Arabidopsis thaliana: one gene and its partner. The protein of the gene in region 2 purifies or fractionates together with the protein of the main gene of each other region. This does not show direct contact. Each region holds a gene or a part of one and is shown on either strand. Other genes may lie near its edges.

Region 1 (7,976 bases), on a different chromosome or scaffold from region 2:
ATTTTGGCCTGAAGATACCTTTCTTTTGGAGGTCTGGCTAAGTTCCTGAGGAATAAACTGAGAAAGGTCTCCCATGTACTCATCATCTTCTTCTTTCGCTGCTTCTCCTCCAAGCCCAGTCAGATTTCTCGTCGATTCTGCCATTGCCGACGGAGCTTGCGTTCGCGCTGAGAGGAAGGGAGAACAACAAAAAAAAAAAGAGAATCATTAATGGGCTTTAATTAGGCCCAATAATAATAGTATTTGGCTGTGTTCTCCACTATGTCGTTGCTGCCAATTTTCTTTGTTAGATCACGTTTGACATAAAAAGGACTAAGCTTTATCGGTTGAAGAAATTATCATGGATCCTACAGAAATGAGATACTTGGAAGAGGAAAATGGAGCGATGATGAAGACATTCAAAGATGCTGTGACTGGTTTTGCAACTGGAAAGACGTCCCTCGTATTGAAAGAAACGTTGCTCTTCCAGGACTCATCAGAACGTTGAAGATGATGGGAAGCCACGGGCTGACTTTTGCTGCCATTGGAGGTGTTCATTGGTGTTGAACAGTTGGTGCAGAACTTTAGAGCTAAGAGAGATTTCTTCAATGGAGCACACATTACAATGACTAAAGTAGCAAGAACTCATTATTAGCTGGATCCTGCGCTCATGGATATCTCTGTTCCATCCCATGTCCTTCTGTTTTTGTATCTTGAGATGTTCATGTTATGTTGCATTGTTTGGATGTTTCTACGAATATGAGATTCTGCAAATATGAGAAATTTTGGAGCTCTAAAACTTCTTCAGAAATTTGCACCTACCATGGTAGTAGCCTAACTCTTGCGTCCACTTAAATCTATTTGACCAAGACAAGACTATCTATCAAAACAGTTTTGCTTACAAGTTATAACTTATAACAATTCAAGTCATCATGCTCTATTTGAAGATGAGATTTTCAATAGAGAAGGGAACAAAAACGATGGATTGAAATGTCAAGGAAAGAAAAGCAGAAATCAAGAAAACAATAATCTAAACGAAAGCTTTAAGAGAGTATTTCTGTGCAGATAAGTTACGTTGTGAAGTATTGGTTCCAAACTACAAATCACTGAATCAGGCTGATTTCTCTTTTTTCTTTTTTCTTTTGGTCTTGGGGTGGGGTTTCTTCACTAGCAATATGCCAAATATGATCGAAGGAGCTCTACATGAACAAGACACTTTCCGCTTGGTCTATTATTCTTATTAGTCACCTTGTAGGCAGTAGAGTTGCCTTATATTTCCAGATGCTGTCGCAACAAAAACATAGACTAAGTCAAAACCTAATGAATGATGCATATCAATAAAGTAAAGTAGGGATCGATTCAGAGAAAGTTTTCTTACCGTAAAGCCAGTCTTTGAAATAAACATGGAGTGCACTTGATAGCTCTCGTTTCCGGTTTTCTTCTAGAGGCGCCTCTTTTAACGATCGTCTTGTTTCTTCAAAGTTCTTAAGCTGATGACAAAAAAAATTGCAGATACAAGATCAGATATGGACAAAAATAACAAATGCATTTGTTTATCTGGTTAAGTATAACTTTAAAACATACGTTTCTCTGCTGAGCTGCCATATAAGCATCTGGCAATGGAAATGGATTGTCTTTCGTCGAACCAAGCTCCGCGCCGCTAAACCAGTTTGGGATCTGTGCCATTGTCATTGATACCACCGAAAAACACGTCATTAGATGCTTCATGACACTGAAAAGCATTCACCAATTATTGACGTAAATGTTAGACCCAAATAGAAAATGTACCAAAAAGTTTACGAACTGGTCAGGGTCTACAGAAGCAGCTGATTCAGCCTGTGCATCAGCAACACCGGCAGGATGTGACAGGGAGTCATGTGGATCCACAGCTCCCAGGGCCAATGGTTTGTCCCATTTGTTGATCGTTGGCTCAAGCCCTACCTCCCTCATGTGCTCTTCCAAATGAGAGTAAAATGTATTATATGGAGCGACCTGAAACAAAGTCAAATTGATGCCAGCACTTTAAAAATAGAAGCCCATAATCACTAGAAGCAATATCTGACAATGCCCGCACTCTTAAAAACCAGTAAAACCTTCTTGAGGAAAACATTTGACTAAACGTATCTAGCAGCAGTCTAGCCACCCCTCCAAGTTTGTTTCCACTAGACTTGATGACGTGTCCGAAACGGCTTATTAACCAAACTAACCAAACTAAATCTAGTAAAAAGTCTAGCCACTCAATTTTTTTTACCTTAATATCAGAAAGGTAAATAAGAGCAACATGACATAAAACTTGTAAATTAAACCACAATCTTAAAGAGAAGCTTCACCTGCAGTTTGTGGTTATCACCAACAATAAGTGGCCGCTGATTGACTCCCAAGAAGAATACACATTCACGACAATTGGCAATGCACACTCGTTTGGCAGCTACAATCACATGAACTCTTTCACAGTGCTCAACTTTTATTGCCTGCAGAAATAAATACGGAATTATGTTTGATACATCTTTTAATAAAAGTTGGCAGATATTATAACTTGTTAAATGTTGCTTTGACTATCTTCAGAAAAGATAAAGAAGGAAGAAGCATTGTTTCCATACCTTGCCAACAGCTCCCAAAACTATAGTAGTATCAGAACATCCGTGCACAGTTGCATATCGCAATGGTGCTAAAAGATAAATTACAGAATCATGGCAATTGACAACCTGAAAAATACACAAAACAAGGAGTTGACATGCTTGCACAGAGATTCCATGACTGGAAGAAAAACGGAACAAGGAACAGTCAGACCTTCACAGATCTACCCCTTAGATCGGAGGCTTGCTTAACAAGTGAAGTCTTGGAGACTCCCTCGATTAAACACGGGCCTCTAGTACTAGGTGCAACCTTGTTCGGAGCAGCACAAACATCTGACATCGCATCATCTTGATCGTTAGAAGGTCCGTTCTCTTTTCCAGAAATTCTCTCAGTAATGCTTTCTAAAGCGGAAGCTATGTTTTGCAGAAGCCAGTCATGCACTTGGGAAGCGGGGACTGGAACAGCGGGCATATCCGGATCAGAATTTGCAAAAAAAGGAGTAGCTTGGCTCAATGGAGATACATCAGATCCCTTATCACCAAACTGAACAAGAAAACGCAGATGCTCGAACGCCTCCATAGAGAAAACCTGAACGATATTGGACAAGAAAAAAAAAATTAACTTGTGTTCTCTTTCATTTCCTAAAAAATTCTTATTCCAACATCAGAATTTTATATTCTTGTAGCTTAGAACAGTGACACCCCCTGAGAATATAAGAAAGATTAGAACTTACCAATGATTCATCTCCTTCTCCCTCCACAGGCTCTGCAAGGAGAGAAATGATGTTTGCTAAATGTTTTTGCAGATATGACAACTGATGAGCTTCATCATCTGCCTGTGATGGCATAAATCGACGGCTGTTGCTGCGAACAAGCTGCAGAAATGATGAAAAGGAGATATAAATAACAATTTTAGCTCCAATAAAGTTGGTTCGACCCATGTGATGAGAAACGATAGAATACCAAAGAACAGTGACTGTAGAAAACACTGAAAAGCTTAAGATTATATGACTGTTTTCTAAAAGACTCAATAGAACATCCATACCACACAGGAAACAGAATATTACAGGACTGGAGACCCGAGTCAAAATTCAAGAACACACCAAGCATTATCACCAAATAAACCACGTGAAAGGACCAAACAAAATAAGGTACAACGGAAAAAGAATCAGATTCCGAACCACAAAACAAAGCAAGCTGGCGACTGTTTGACTTTAGTTAGTAAACTAACCAATTACCATTGCCCCAGAGTCATCAGAGAAAGGGGACTGGCAATTAAATACAAGTAAGCATCTTCCTCATTGAGAATTGTTACGAAACTATAGCCACCATCAATTCAATTAATCACCCAAATTTCCGACATTGCTTAACTCTAAGTTTCAGGTAAATCAAATGACTCAGAAAACTTAAACTTGCATTGCAAATTTTAGTTAAATACAATGCGAAATGGAAATAAGTTATTCTCTACCACGTTCCAATTCCATACTCGAGTACAACAGTTCCATTTCAATACCAAACAAATCGCAGGCGCTGGGATTGAGGCACATTATAATAAGAGGGCCAAAAAAAGTAAGAAACTTGCCTGAATTGGCGATAACGCAGACAAGTATCCATCAAAAGCTGAAGTCGATGGCCAAACATCAGCCACCGCTGCGGAGTCCTTATGCGTCCTAGGAAGCAACTTCTTATACGATTGAATGTACAGGAACAAAATAAGATCCCGCAAATCAGCTCCGACGGAATCAACTTCCTCAGGTTTCGCCCGAACCAGAGGGTCAGACTCGGAATGAAGCACCGAACCGAGAGTCTCGAGAACGAGACGCGCATGGTCGCCGGAGATCTGGAGAACGTCGGCGATTGCAGCCGATCCAACGCGGTTATTCGAAGCCGCATCGGCTAGCTTCTGCTTGACAGGGGCTAAGGTTTGGATCGGGTCGGTGAAAACGAGTTTCTGGATCGGGAGGAGTCCGTGCTCGAAAGACACACGCCTTGGATGGATTACTGAATTCGGATTCGTGCTCGAGTTTGGTTCAGGGTCGGGTGCTGAAGGTGGTGGTGATTGGTCGATGAGGTCTTGTTCTTCAGTCATGATTGATTCGTCGCGCGAGGTAGAGAGACAGAAGAGATAGAGAGAGACTGGTCCGGTGGTGAAGTTGCAGATCTTTCTTTGGGTGACGAATCATTTCATTGAAGGAGAAGAGCAGAGAGAGAGATGGTTACAGTGCGTGCACGTGTATGTTAGTAACGTACGCTTCGTTTCTTTGGTCGTTGGATTTACGAGTAGATTAACCTTTGATCTGAGCTATGACACGTCAGATGAACGGAGATAACATGTTAACTAAAGAGGCCCATTTGAGAATTGAATGCAAATCGCATTTAAGTTTTAGTTAGGCCATTGTTGCAATAAGTTAGGTCCTAAGCGTTCGTCAAAAGGAGAAAAGGTGATCATCACAACTCATAATTAGGTTTTACAATAGGGAAATATACTTGGTTACCTAAGTACTTGTAAGTTGTCACTGTTAATTAAAATTGTTAGAAGATTAGTGGGAAAAAGAGAGATAAAATTGGGAAGTTTAGGCCAAAAGAACTCATAACTCGCTTTCATTGCAATTTAAATATTGTCCGCTTGTTTAAGGAAAATGGTTTGCAATGGGTAAACATCGTTTAAATGAGACGGTTATGTTTTTTAGCAGTTACAGAAAAAGGCGGGTAGAAAAAAACGGTTAGAAAAGATGAACAACCTAAAATTAAACCAATTGGTAATATCGTTTAAATAAGGCGGTTATTTTATTTAACACTTACAAAAAAGACTGATAAAAAAAAACGGTTAGAAAATATATTAAAAGAAAAAATGATAAATAATTTAAAATGAACCGTTAAATAATAGTTATGATTAGTAACAAACGGTTAAACAGTAAAAAAAAAAAACTAAATTAAAATATTTAATAAATAACTAAAAATATTTAAAAAACAAAGAAAAACAAAACTCTTTAGTAAATAATTCAAATACATTACAGTTTTAAAAATCTAAGAAACGTTAAATAACTAAAATATTCCAATGGTGAACAAGAGAGGTTGCAAACTCACCTATTTTGTTTAAGCTTTTAACCGTTTGTTTCAATCACCTATTCTTACCACTCGTTTCATCCGTCTATTGCAAGCAATTATTTGATTGGTAATCAAACTAACGGTTGAATTTATCGCCGTTAAATAAATGTTATCAAGCTACTATTGGAATTCGGAAAGGGAACACTATCAACTTTTGGATTCTTAGGTTATCTCATTCATTCAGCTAGCTCAATATTCTGATTTGATTTGATTTGATCCGTTTCGATTCGGTATTTGATTTAATTTGATTCGAAAAATCCGAATATTCGTAAGATTTTGGAGCAAAGCAAATAGAAAAATATAGTATTCGTAAAAATCGAATCAAATAATAAATATTGTTTTTTAAAAAATCGAATATCCGCTTCGATCCGTATCTTTTTATATATATTAGAAAATATAGTATATCTATATATAGATATCATAAATAGTTTGTGTATTGTTGTCATTTTATGTTTTTATGTTAAGATGTTTGTTTGATCATTTTTTTTTATGTTATGTTTTGATCAATGGCATCAAAAAACTATCGGGTTTTAGTTTTGGAATTAGTTTGATAATATTTTGTTGACCGGTGATACCAACAACGGTTATGTTTGGTATTTAGAACTTATTTTAAAAGCACACGGAGACACCAATTAAGGAACGCACGGATAAATTTTTTGAATATATGATATAGTTATATAGTATACATATTTTTTTAATATTTAAATGTATCAAAGCGGATATCCGCAAATATCACAAAAAATTCCGGATATTCGAAATTCCGGATATCTGGAAATTTTCGAAGTAAAGCGAATCACAAAATCAAGTATTCGTTTAAAACGAATCGAATAACAAATATCATAATTTTTCCGGATATCCGCTTCGTGCCCATACCTAATTCTGAGTATAAAATTTAATATTTTTTCTTTATGTAAATACACAAAAAGTGACCATGAACCGTACAGTTTAAAATAGTCATTTTTCGACGAAACAATTACCGTGACGTTGTCTTTAAACCTCTGGAGAAAAGATTTACATATTTTTGATAACTGGTTAAACTTGTTTAACGCATTAATCATCTCTTAAGAAAAAGAGTTGTATATATCTCTCTTGTAGATGTGATAAGATATGGATTACAAACTGTCATCTTAGCAAATTTGTCTTCTTCTTTTTTTTTTATCATTTGTCTTCTTATTACACTTATCAAATTATAGTATTAGTTATGACCGTAGTGGGTGACTCGATCGTGGTAAACGTACGGTGGACTGAAATCCTTCAAGTCGAAGCTATACAAATGCGAGCAAAGCATGATCAACACGTGTCATTTGCAACGACTACCAATATCTTCTTTAATTTCTATCTTACTCTAATTATAAAATTAGATTATTGTCCGTGTAAAGTAGCTAATACTTTTGATTAAATTATGTCAAAATACTTGGAGCAGAAGCATTCTCTTAACTACTCGGTGGCACATCATAAAGCTAGAACGAAAAGTAAAAGACGGCCCTCTCAGCAATTAAAGGTGCCACGACCACGAGACCGTTTCGATACTAAATGATTATATACAAATACTGAAATATAGTTAGTACTTGTTATTTAGTTTAAGAACTGAATATACAAATCAACAGATCAAACATATGCAATTTAACTACTAATATAGTATATATGTCCAACTGCCCAAGTCTTGTTTCATAAAATAATGAAGAAAACTTTGGTGACAAATGGAAAAAGAACATTTTGTAAACTAATTATGTCTACCCAACATTAGTCGGTAGAAAGATAATCGCATTTTTGTAACAATTGCTCCGAAGTGTGGATGATTTCCATTTTATACCTAATAAACTAAAATACCAAAGCCACAAGAAGAGTTCGCTAACGCGTTTAAAACTTGTCGTCTATCTATATCCATTTGATAGTATACATTTTGGAATTTTACCCAGAGTTATTTTCTTCTGATTCACCTAAACGAATCATGATGGCTTTTACATAGACAGAAAATAAAAACTTGTTAAAAAGCAAAAGCAGTGACCATTTATTTGTTTGTTTGGATAAACGAAGATAAAAAAATCCTATATCAAGTAAAAAAAGCATGCACATGTCTAGATAGATAAAACACATAAATGTAGGAATTATGAATTCGGATCGTGATAGAGATTTAGACGTTTAAGGTAAATTTTGAAGGAAAGAAAGATAAAATAAAAATACTTATGTAGACAGACAACAAGATAAAACGAAATGGGACCCCCTAACTTATTTATTTCGTTATTGACCAGAAAAATTAACAAAAAATAGTAACGGGGTCCAGCAAAAAGCAAAACACGGCTTTTGTATAAA
Region 2 (9,624 bases):
AGATGAAAGAATTCGTTTGTTGTGCCCCATGTTATAGTGATTTTTTTTCTAATCAGTTGGTTATTACTCATTATTTTTACTATTTTCAAGTAATAAATGTTTTCAGTATTTAACTTATTTTTCCAAATTTATCTTTTTCTATAACTCTTTGAAAGAATTATGCTAATACAAGGACACTTCAATTTTTTCTTTTTCCATTTACATGTCTTTTAAAAAATGTTTATATTGTATTTTATTTTTAAAATTTATATGTTAGCTATGTTGTGCCCCAGGTTAATTATGGTTCTAGATCCGCCACTGGAGACTAACATCATCATTCTCATGAAAAGAGTCGCAACGACTATAAAAGTGATCGCCGTTTAGTCTAGTGATGCCGACGATACCAACATCTCATGTAAAAGTGGTCGCAACGACACCCTTACTATTTATTCTCCGTTTTCTTTAGAGAGGCTTCTCCGTAAAGAAAAATACAGAAGCTACACGATCTTGACAAACTCTCAAATGTTTGATTTTGCAAGGAAAGAAAAAAAGTAATAATGAGAAGAGAGAGAAAGAGAGTGAAAAGAAGAAGCGACGAAGAAGAAGAAAAAAAAAGGAACGTGGAAAGATGAAACTTTTTTTTTTTATTATAATTTCTTAATTTTCAGAGATAAATTGGTCAAAAGTTTAATGAAAAAGTTGGAAAAGTGCTTCATCCGTGACAAGTGCCTCAAAAAGAATAAAATTCTTTAAAAATGTCTAAACGTGTCAAATTCCCTTATTTTTAACCGCCATAGAAAGTGAGTTCATGCTTGTTAAAACAAAATGCACGACTTTTTAACACATCTTCCAAAATATCATATTGACAAACAAAGTTTTAATGATTCTTATACAAACAAATAACCAATGTCGGCTCAAACCAATCAAAAACTGATATATAGTATATAATTTGATTTGATATTCTATAGTTTATACGAGAATTGTAGTTGATATCATAGGCACAAATTTGCTAATGAGGAAAAAGCAAAAACAATGATCATGTAAAACAAGTTTCAAGGTTTGTAAATTTCTTCCCACAAAAAAAAGTGTCTTTGTACATAGTTCTTTCGATTTTAAATAAAACCGTTGTTGTTGGTTCCACAAAACACTATAAAGCGGCGTATATAATAATATACATAAGATTGAAAGAGGGTCCAACCTGAGAAACCTAAGCAAGACAAATATTTCATGAAACTAACACAAGCTTACGCATCGGATAAGTCTCTTGGTCGCCAATCTCTAGGTGGAACCGTGGAATGGACTGGCTTTCGTGGTTGTCTGTCTGAAAATTGTTTCCGAGGCTCTTACCACCCAAGAAGATCTGACTTCTCCCTCTTCTTCCCAAGAAACTAGTAAAAAAAGCAACGAAAACGGCTTTTAATACGTTTAATATACCAAAAGATACAAACTTGTAACATTGAGCACATCAATTTTGCTATTTCATACATGCATAAGGAACATGATGCTGACCAGTGTTGAACAAAGTACCTCTTACGAGTCACTAAAATGGAGATTCGAGTGGTTCATCCCAAACATCTGCACTCCCATTCGAGACTTCCTCCACATCTTCCTCCATTGACAACCTCACATACTCTCTCTGAGCAAATCGGTCCCATTCCGTCAATGTTGGATTCTCACGTTCCTGTCAAATGGAAAACAAAGTTGGTTTAGAAGTAGCAGAGACTGGAACAGATACAACCGGCTGCAGTAGTAGGTGACTATCTGAACTTATAATAATTTTTGCGAATTTTTATGGCATTAATAAATATTCAGTAGTAACAGTTTCAACAGCTAAACGAAGGATTGAATAACCAAAGGGAGGAAAACTCTATAGAAAACCTATGTTTACCTGACGAATGAGAAAAGGGTCACGGGTTTCAAACGCCATGAATTTGTTCAGGTTAAAGAGTATATTGAAAATATTTCCAGAAAGTTTGGATGCTTTCAGATCCTGGAGTGTGATGCAGTTCTCCTTCTGAAAGAGTCATTCGACAAATTGATGATGCGAATAAGAGCAAAGGAACAGACAAGCCAGGAATATCAAAAGACCATGTTATGGTTTAAAAGAAATTTTGCCTCTGGTTTAATCATGTCGAATATTTGACATAGGATATCTTCAAAGAGTACAGGTTCCTGGGTTATACATTCCATGCGATGCAGCTGCTCTTCGTAGAAAAACTGCATCTCGTTGGGAGTGATCACCCCATCTCCATCTAGGTCTATGCACTTGAACCTGCAAAGATGGTTTTAATCAATATCAAGGGAAAACGAAAAACAAAAAACTGCCAAGAACCTGTGTTTAACATCGATGGGAGATAGATGAGCATACCAGCGAGGTATGCCCTCATATCAGCGGTTCAACTGAAAATGTTCTAGATTCATGAGATGATGAATGAAAATGTTCTAGGTTCATGAGATGATGAATGAAAATGTCTTAGATTCAAGATGGGTATCCTATGTTCATGAAATAATAGTACTACTAAATGTTTAGTGCGTTCAAAATATCAGGTAGGCTTGTATCATCAAGAAGGCCACATATGCCACAAGTTTTGGCTCAGAAGTTATACATTTATAGTGACATACTGTGAGCTAAGCAGCTAAAGGACAAAATGGCTAAAGAGAAGTCACTAAAGACAAAAAGAGAAGAGGGGAAGAGACATGTACCAATACTCAAGACTAGGCTCAGATGACTTATCCTCCTCAGCGAGAATAAAGTATGCAAAATCTTCATAACTCATCTTCCCCTCAACTTTGCTTGTAAATTTCCTAGGAACCTGAGTGAGAGACAGCCGTAATTTCAATTAAGAAAGAAGGAAACACACTCCATAAGATAACAATTAAGTTTCGAGAAAAGTGTTCATTAACATTTTGACAACTGGAGCCAACCTGTGAAAATATTCTGTCGACAATCCTGTAGGTAAGGGCATGATTACCATATTTGATGAGATTTTCCTTATCAATAAGGAAATCATGGTCGCCATCGAGTTCCCAAAATCTGCAGTATATCACGTAGAAATGCTCATAGGAGAAGTACCTGAAAAGTAAAGAAAAGGTCATATTGAATGGTCAAATCATGCATGATGTCTTGCCACAGTATCACAATATGAACTACCAATACACTTCTTCCTCTTTATGAGTTTTATGGGTAGTGCTTATGTCTAAGAAACAATTCGAAGACCTATGCACTACCCATATTACTCACAATGCTACACACCTTGCTGAGCTTGAATTCTTAAACAACTTAAAGTGGTCTTTATTATACAAATAAAACTAAAATCTTAATCTTTTTAACGTATTGTTTAAGAAATAATGAAAAGGAAAACAAAGTCACCTAATAACTTTATTGATGTCGTCTTCTTCATCAACTTGTTGCATGGCAGTAATAAGATTCCCACGCTTCAGCTCTCTAAGAGTAATGCAACCAGTACCTGATCTGTTTATGTAGTAAAATATTCTGTAGATGACGGTCTCAGCTGGGTTGACGGAATAGAACACAGAGATGAATGAAACAAGCACGGGAAAAATTATGAATTAGTCAATAGATGTATAAAACAGTAAGCACCTGAAAATATACTATATTTAAGAAGCATCTCATAATTTTCAAAATGTAATTATAATGAACAAGTACATAGAATTAAAATTAGAAGAATTATTGCCTAGGCCAATCAAGCCAGCTAAAGATGTCACTTTCAAGTTCGTCAATGCGTTTTGAAAGATCATATATATATGGAAAGAAATTGTACGAACGTCTTAGTAGAAAACAGACATTCTGGTAGAACTATTTCACACCATAACATCAATGTATCAAAAACCAAGTTCTTACCATATCTTTCTTGAAACTCAGGTGTATTCCTCAGGAATTCCAAGCCGGGATGAGTTGTCAGAAGCTCATCAAGAACTGGTTTGAAGTCAGCCTATCCCAAATCCAAAAGAAGACATTAGCCTTCAGGACTAAAGAAATCAAGTGAGACAATAATCATTGGTAAACAAATCAAAACAGCAGTGAAGAGCTGGGAAAAGAAAACAAAGAGACCTGTCTAAGGTACTTGCAACCTGGCTGCCTTAAAATATTATATATCTGTGAGGCTACGTCCATTGCCAACATATGTCCATCAACCCAATACTTGATAAATGCATCCCTGCAGGAACCAAATATGGTGTATTTAAAAGATACTAGCTAAACAGAAAGATTACAGCTGCTGTATATTTCTATGATATTACTCATGATTTGGCTAATTTAAAGATGTATCAATTCCAAACAATATCTACAGGGTAGAAACTTCAATATTACTTATCACAAATGTTCTAAACAATATATAAAATCGAGCACACTAAATTTATTGAAAGTAAAAAGAAATTATATTCGAGTGGCATAAATAAATAAAAAGATAACAATCAGGTATTAAAATTACTATGCCACATTCCATTTCTTTTAAGGGTGAGCAATTTATGAAACAAATAGCTGAGCGTGCATCTGGAAATCCAGACCAATGTGATCTATTATTATATTACATGAAACACATATGAATACCAGTGGATATATACATTTAACTACAATTACATATGAAAAGAAAGAACACAATGATTTACCTTGTAACGATACCGGTGCCACTCGTGTCTATCTTTCTAAATAGTACAGAGGAAAGAAAAGAAGGCAGCTTGCAGACTTCTTTAGTAATGGATTTGAATTCTGCAATTGAACAATAGCAAGAATGTGTTTGTAAGATCAACTGTTTGTCTATTCATTACAGAACGGGACTGTGATGTAAAAAAGCTTGTATTTAAACATCACCATCCATATGAAGTCCGTCTATATAGTTACTAAAAAATTGATCAACCATGGATATACATTGCTCCCTTAGTTCCTTCGCAGGTGGACGTCCATGTTGGAAGTAAAACTGCATAGCATATCAAGGCATAGAAGCGTCAAACAAGAATGTTGAACAATATTAGCTAAACCCTTCAACTATGTAAGATGTCAAACGGATGACCATAATAAACTTACTTGTTGTCATCGTTTTGTTAAAAAAAAAATTGTACCTATGCTACTTGAACGAAGAATTTAGTTTCTATTGTATTTGTTCTCGTGGTTCTCCATCTACTTAGAAAACTATTACAGTCTAGTTTCAACAATTACGTGAGCATATATAAAACAATCAAATCATGATGTCAACTGTCAAGCAAGGTAGTGCCTTCTCATGTTGTTTGTAAGACATCCATATGAGGAGCAGTTGGATAAAAAATCGAACCTGTGGAATGAGTTGGCGCTTTGGTTCCCTGACTGATTTCAGAGGAGACTGTAGAGAAGGGCTTGTCTTTTGCCTCGAGAAACGGGGAGACCCAGGTGAGCCTCGTGGGGATAGTGGGGGAGTGCCGCTGTTCAGAAAAACAGATGGCAATGCACTCCCGCAAGCAACATTGAGACTAGTACAATTTTTGGATACACTGACTGGGGTACTAGATTTAGTATCATCAATTAAAGACTTGACCTGCACAAACATCACACAGATGAACTGTTAAAAGAGGACCACGTAAAACCTTAAACGAAAAACAACCACCAAAAGTTTCTTCACCAACATGAGTCGGCAATCGGCATACAACACTGGACCATATTCTCAGGAGCTTTAAGTTAAATCTGGTACTACACAAATACAAACACTTCTCAAGTTTAGCAGAGCCTTGTAATATCCCAGTACTATTATCACCTAAGTCATTATAACCCCTAAATGTGCTATTCAAGCACTCTTTATCTAACACTAAGTAAAATCTATAAGAAATAAACAAAACTACTAAATATGCAACAGCCGAGGATTCAGTAAGAGCAATAAGCATGTTGAATCTTGCTCTGCAGAAATTGACTTGAAATCAGATAAAGTCACAACAAGGACTTACGAACAGGTATCAGCATATACATAAAACAGGCGCCAACTATTAAATGAACAAGAAACCAAACGACGCTAAGGAGCCACTGAGCCAGAGGCTTGGGAATAAAATTACCAATCGGCCAGTTTCAGGAAGTGAAAGCCACTGGGAGAAGAGTTCTTCAGCAATATGAGGATTTTCTTTAAGTGATACAGGAGACAAACCGGGAAGCTGCAAGAGCTCAGGATCCAAAATCTGAACATCGTTTCCACCATCGATTTCCATGATTATCTTCTATCTTATTCACTGAGAATCAGAACTACAACAAAACCCCAATATCGGAATTCCTTGAGTCAATTCTAAAATTGGATCGAAACCCTAATTTCTTCCAATAACTTGAAGCAGTAACTCCAAAACAGGATTCTCAGACTTTTCAAAGATCTATAAGCACGAAATCCAAAGAAAATTCAATAAAAGCAGCTCTGACCAATCGAGAAACTCTCTAACTAGTTGAGAAACACCAGCTCGAAGAAGAGAAACTAAACGAAAACCAAAATAAACGATTCGATAAACCCTAGATTCCCAAATTCTATCAACAAGCAAAACAGAGTCCTATACAAAACTTCTTCTGCAATTCAAGCACAAACGTGGAAGAAATTGGAAGATCCAAAGAACACTGATCTCTCTCTCCGATCAATAACAAGCTCGACGACGAGAGGAAGTCGTAGAGAATTTTTCCAGGGAGATTGTGTTATTGATGAGAAAATGAATTAAAAAGGAAAAAGTATTTAATTTTGATTTTAATACTCTCTCTCAGTCTCAGACGCAGTAGTACTAGCGGTGGTGGTGGTATTTTTGTTTTCCACTTTTAGTCCTCAACGTTGACCAAAAAGTCAACCAAATCCAGCGTTCTTTATCCGTTTTTGCGATCATGTTTATTTGAGTCTCGAGTCAATTAATAAATCGCAGAAATTAGCGATCAAATTGTTTGTTTGGTTGTTAAACTTCATGACGTTTCGACTGTTATCATCAAGATTGCAACTGATTCATTAAAGTCATAAAAATGTGACTTCACATGTGTAAACCTAGTTTTGAAGAATGATGATGAATATTTGTCATTTCTCAAAAATTGTATTGGAGCACTTGCTTTTTTAGTCGAAATGCAAAAGTATGTAGGAGTAGATCATATGAATCTAAAAATGAATGTATTTTATATGTGTAACTTCAATATGAAATTCAGTTTTGCCACTTTATTCGAAGATGAGCGCTAACAAAATGTGAAGAGTTTAACTATAACCATTCAAGTATACGATCAGTGAATAAGTAAACATTTGAAGTATGGAAAAAATAAAAATAAAGAGTTTTAGATTGGAGTCATCTAAAGTATGATTTGACTAAGTAGATGAGCTAATTTTACTATTAAGCCAAAATTTCACCGTTTTTACATGATTTGACCAGAGTATGCCTGCCCCAAAAAAACAGAAGCATTAAAAGAGACCAAAGAGCAGTTGATTGTTTTGTTTATTACAGTACCAGTACAGATAGGTTCGAAGTAATCGAATATACGGATAGAAATTTTACCGTTTTTACATGGAAACTCTCTCTACATTTTTGATTGTTATGTTTGTCTAACACATATCACGATTACATAAACAAAACGAGTGAAAAAGATCTCTGCAAGCTGAAGCTGAAATTACATGTAAAAAGATCTGAGGATTTCATCAGGTTCAAATATATGAATTCCCTCAAACCAAGATTCTCATCTTTCTTCAGAGGTAATTTCTTTGGGTTTTCATGGAGTTTGCTGTCTCTCTCTCCATCATTTTCCTTTATTTCCGAAGAGAGAGAAGCTCGAAGCTTCTTAATTGATCTTCCCGAGTGTTTCTTGCCGCTGTTGCACGAGAGAAAGACAGAGTCTTGGATTCATATCCAGCTTGCACTCTCTGGCTAGTTGAGGGACGGCCATTTCCACTGCCGCTGCCACCACCACCGCTTGAGGAAACCAGACGACTTGAAGTTCGGCTTTCGCTTGGTCCACCTGCAGAACTTGGCCGGGAGCTTGAAGCAGCAACGGCTTTCCTAGAAGAAGATGCTCTATATCTTGAGGAACTGTTTGCTCTTTCGGAGTCTCCATGCTGCACAAATAAAACAAACACAGTTAGGTCTTTGTCTTATTTAGCGGTTCTGATCAACAATGTATGTAAAGAGTAAGATTTTTACTGTCTGCTTAGAGAAAGGTCCGTCGTCTGAGTTTCTTGATCTAGAACGATCTCGAGGCGAAGAAGTTGTAGTCGGGTGTCTTCTGGAGAATGCCTCCACTGCACCTGGGATTTTATATCGGGTTGTTTCCTTTCCTACACGAATGGTAAATAAAAAAAGAGTAGAAATTAGAGTGAGGAATGGATGTGTATGGTTTTGAGATTTTTAATAGAAGTAGGAAAAGCAGAATTTTACCTAGGATCCTCTCTTGTCTTTCAATAGGATCTGCGTTGAATCCGGGTTTCGCTGTTGTATGATGCTGGAAAATCCAAAGATTTACATTTACGTAAGTACAGAGAAACTCAAAAACCATGAGGGTAAAAACACAAGTATAAGATTTTTAATAATCACCCTTGTTCGTGAACTAGAACCAGAGCTGGATCCGATTTGAGGATACTTTAAGACTGTCCAGTCAAATACATAATCGAATTGATAACCTGTAAGAGTTTCAACAATATGAAAAAGATAAGATGAGAGTGGCTTGAAACAGTAAGCGAATAAAATTTCTCGGAATAATGATGTTAAGATAAGAACCTTCTCGGATAAACAAGTCACGGAAAAGCCTCTTGAGGTAAGAGTAATCAGGTTTGTCATCAAACCGTAAAGATCGGCAGTAATGAAAGTATGAAACGAACTCGGACGGTTGGTTTTTACACAATACCTACATCGAAACATTCCAAGCTCAGTTAGAAAAGCTAGATTACCTACCAATGCCAAAATGAAAATCCTTTCGGTTTGTCAAGTTGTTGTAACCTAACCTCTATAGGAGTTGACACTTTTTTCTCGCTGATTCTGTCATACTTCTGCTTCTTTGTCCCAGCTTTTAATCCCTGCCAAGGTAAGCTGATAGCCCAAAAAAACATATGGTTTAAACTCTGTTCAAGAAAATATACAGAATTTTACAGACTCAGGTAGAGAAGCTGTAGACGCTAACCTTCCTTTGAGAAAATACATAAGAACATAACCAAGTGATTCCAAATCATCCCTTCGACTTTGTTCTGTTTAAACATCAGCGAAAACTAATTAAGTATTTGACGGAAAATTTTTATGAATACATATAATTCCACAGATCAACACTCTTACCGACTCCAAGGTGAGTGTTAACACTTGCATACCGAGCTGTCCCAGTAAGATTTTTGTTTTCTCTGCCAAAATATTAGAAATTTCCATTGAGATCACGTAAATCAAGATGCAAAAATGCAGATCCTTGAGTAAGGATAAAGGAAAAAGGGAGAACACAGCATATTCTTACCTGTAAGGAATGTGCTTGTGAGTCTGAAGGTCTCTGTATTTCTTCCCTAGTCCAAAATCAATGATATACACCTGAGATATAAAGAGAGATAAGTTATCTCAGAAGTTTGAGACAGAACCCGCCATCGCAACTACATTTAATGTATAATCATAATATGTCCAAGAACAAGTTTTTGCACCTGATTTGCTTTGCGTCCAAGGCCCATTAAAAAGTTGTCAGGTTTTATATCACGG

The links. The genes of interacting proteins can lie anywhere in the genome.
Region 1: the proteins of AT5G44090 (region 2) and AT3G57890 fractionate together in Arabidopsis thaliana (co-fractionation; one large-scale study listed by BioGRID). This does not show direct contact.

Annotation. Positions count from the first base shown.
Region 1 is NC_003074.8:21,434,939-21,442,914, reverse strand, and holds AT3G57890 (Tubulin binding cofactor C domain-containing protein), read right to left. Parts: upstream 4,832-7,976; 5' UTR 4,645-4,831; coding exon 4,138-4,644; intron 3,627-4,137; coding exon 3,519-3,626; intron 3,431-3,518; coding exon 3,290-3,430; intron 3,145-3,289; coding exon 2,770-3,144; intron 2,685-2,769; coding exon 2,580-2,684; intron 2,451-2,579; coding exon 2,310-2,450; intron 1,972-2,309; coding exon 1,768-1,971; intron 1,657-1,767; coding exon 1,564-1,656; intron 1,470-1,563; coding exon 1,358-1,469; intron 1,264-1,357; coding exon 1,220-1,263; 3' UTR 1,027-1,219; downstream 1-1,026. Other genes in the region: AT3G57910 (D111/G-patch domain-containing protein), read right to left, coding at 19-144; AT3G57900 (import inner membrane translocase subunit Tim17/Tim22/Tim23 family protein), read left to right, coding at 341-442, 530-634.
Region 2 is NC_003076.8:17,741,745-17,751,368, forward strand, and holds AT5G44090 (Calcium-binding EF-hand family protein), read right to left. Parts: upstream 6,782-9,624; 5' UTR 6,166-6,781; coding exon of another isoform or gene 6,016-6,165; 5' UTR 5,851-6,015; coding exon 5,596-5,850; intron 5,508-5,595; coding exon 5,268-5,507; intron 4,917-5,267; coding exon 4,811-4,916; intron 4,709-4,810; coding exon 4,609-4,708; intron 4,158-4,608; coding exon 4,052-4,157; intron 3,933-4,051; coding exon 3,842-3,932; intron 3,492-3,841; coding exon 3,350-3,491; intron 3,053-3,349; coding exon 2,905-3,052; intron 2,793-2,904; coding exon 2,683-2,792; intron 2,252-2,682; coding exon 2,095-2,251; intron 1,994-2,094; coding exon 1,868-1,993; intron 1,661-1,867; coding exon 1,520-1,660; 3' UTR 1,507-1,519; intron 1,368-1,506; 3' UTR 1,022-1,367; downstream 1-1,021. Other genes in the region: ckl7 (casein kinase I-like 7), read right to left, coding at 7,710-8,015, 8,101-8,234, 8,335-8,398, 8,491-8,576, 8,674-8,800, 8,898-8,982, 9,074-9,137, 9,223-9,284 and 2 more.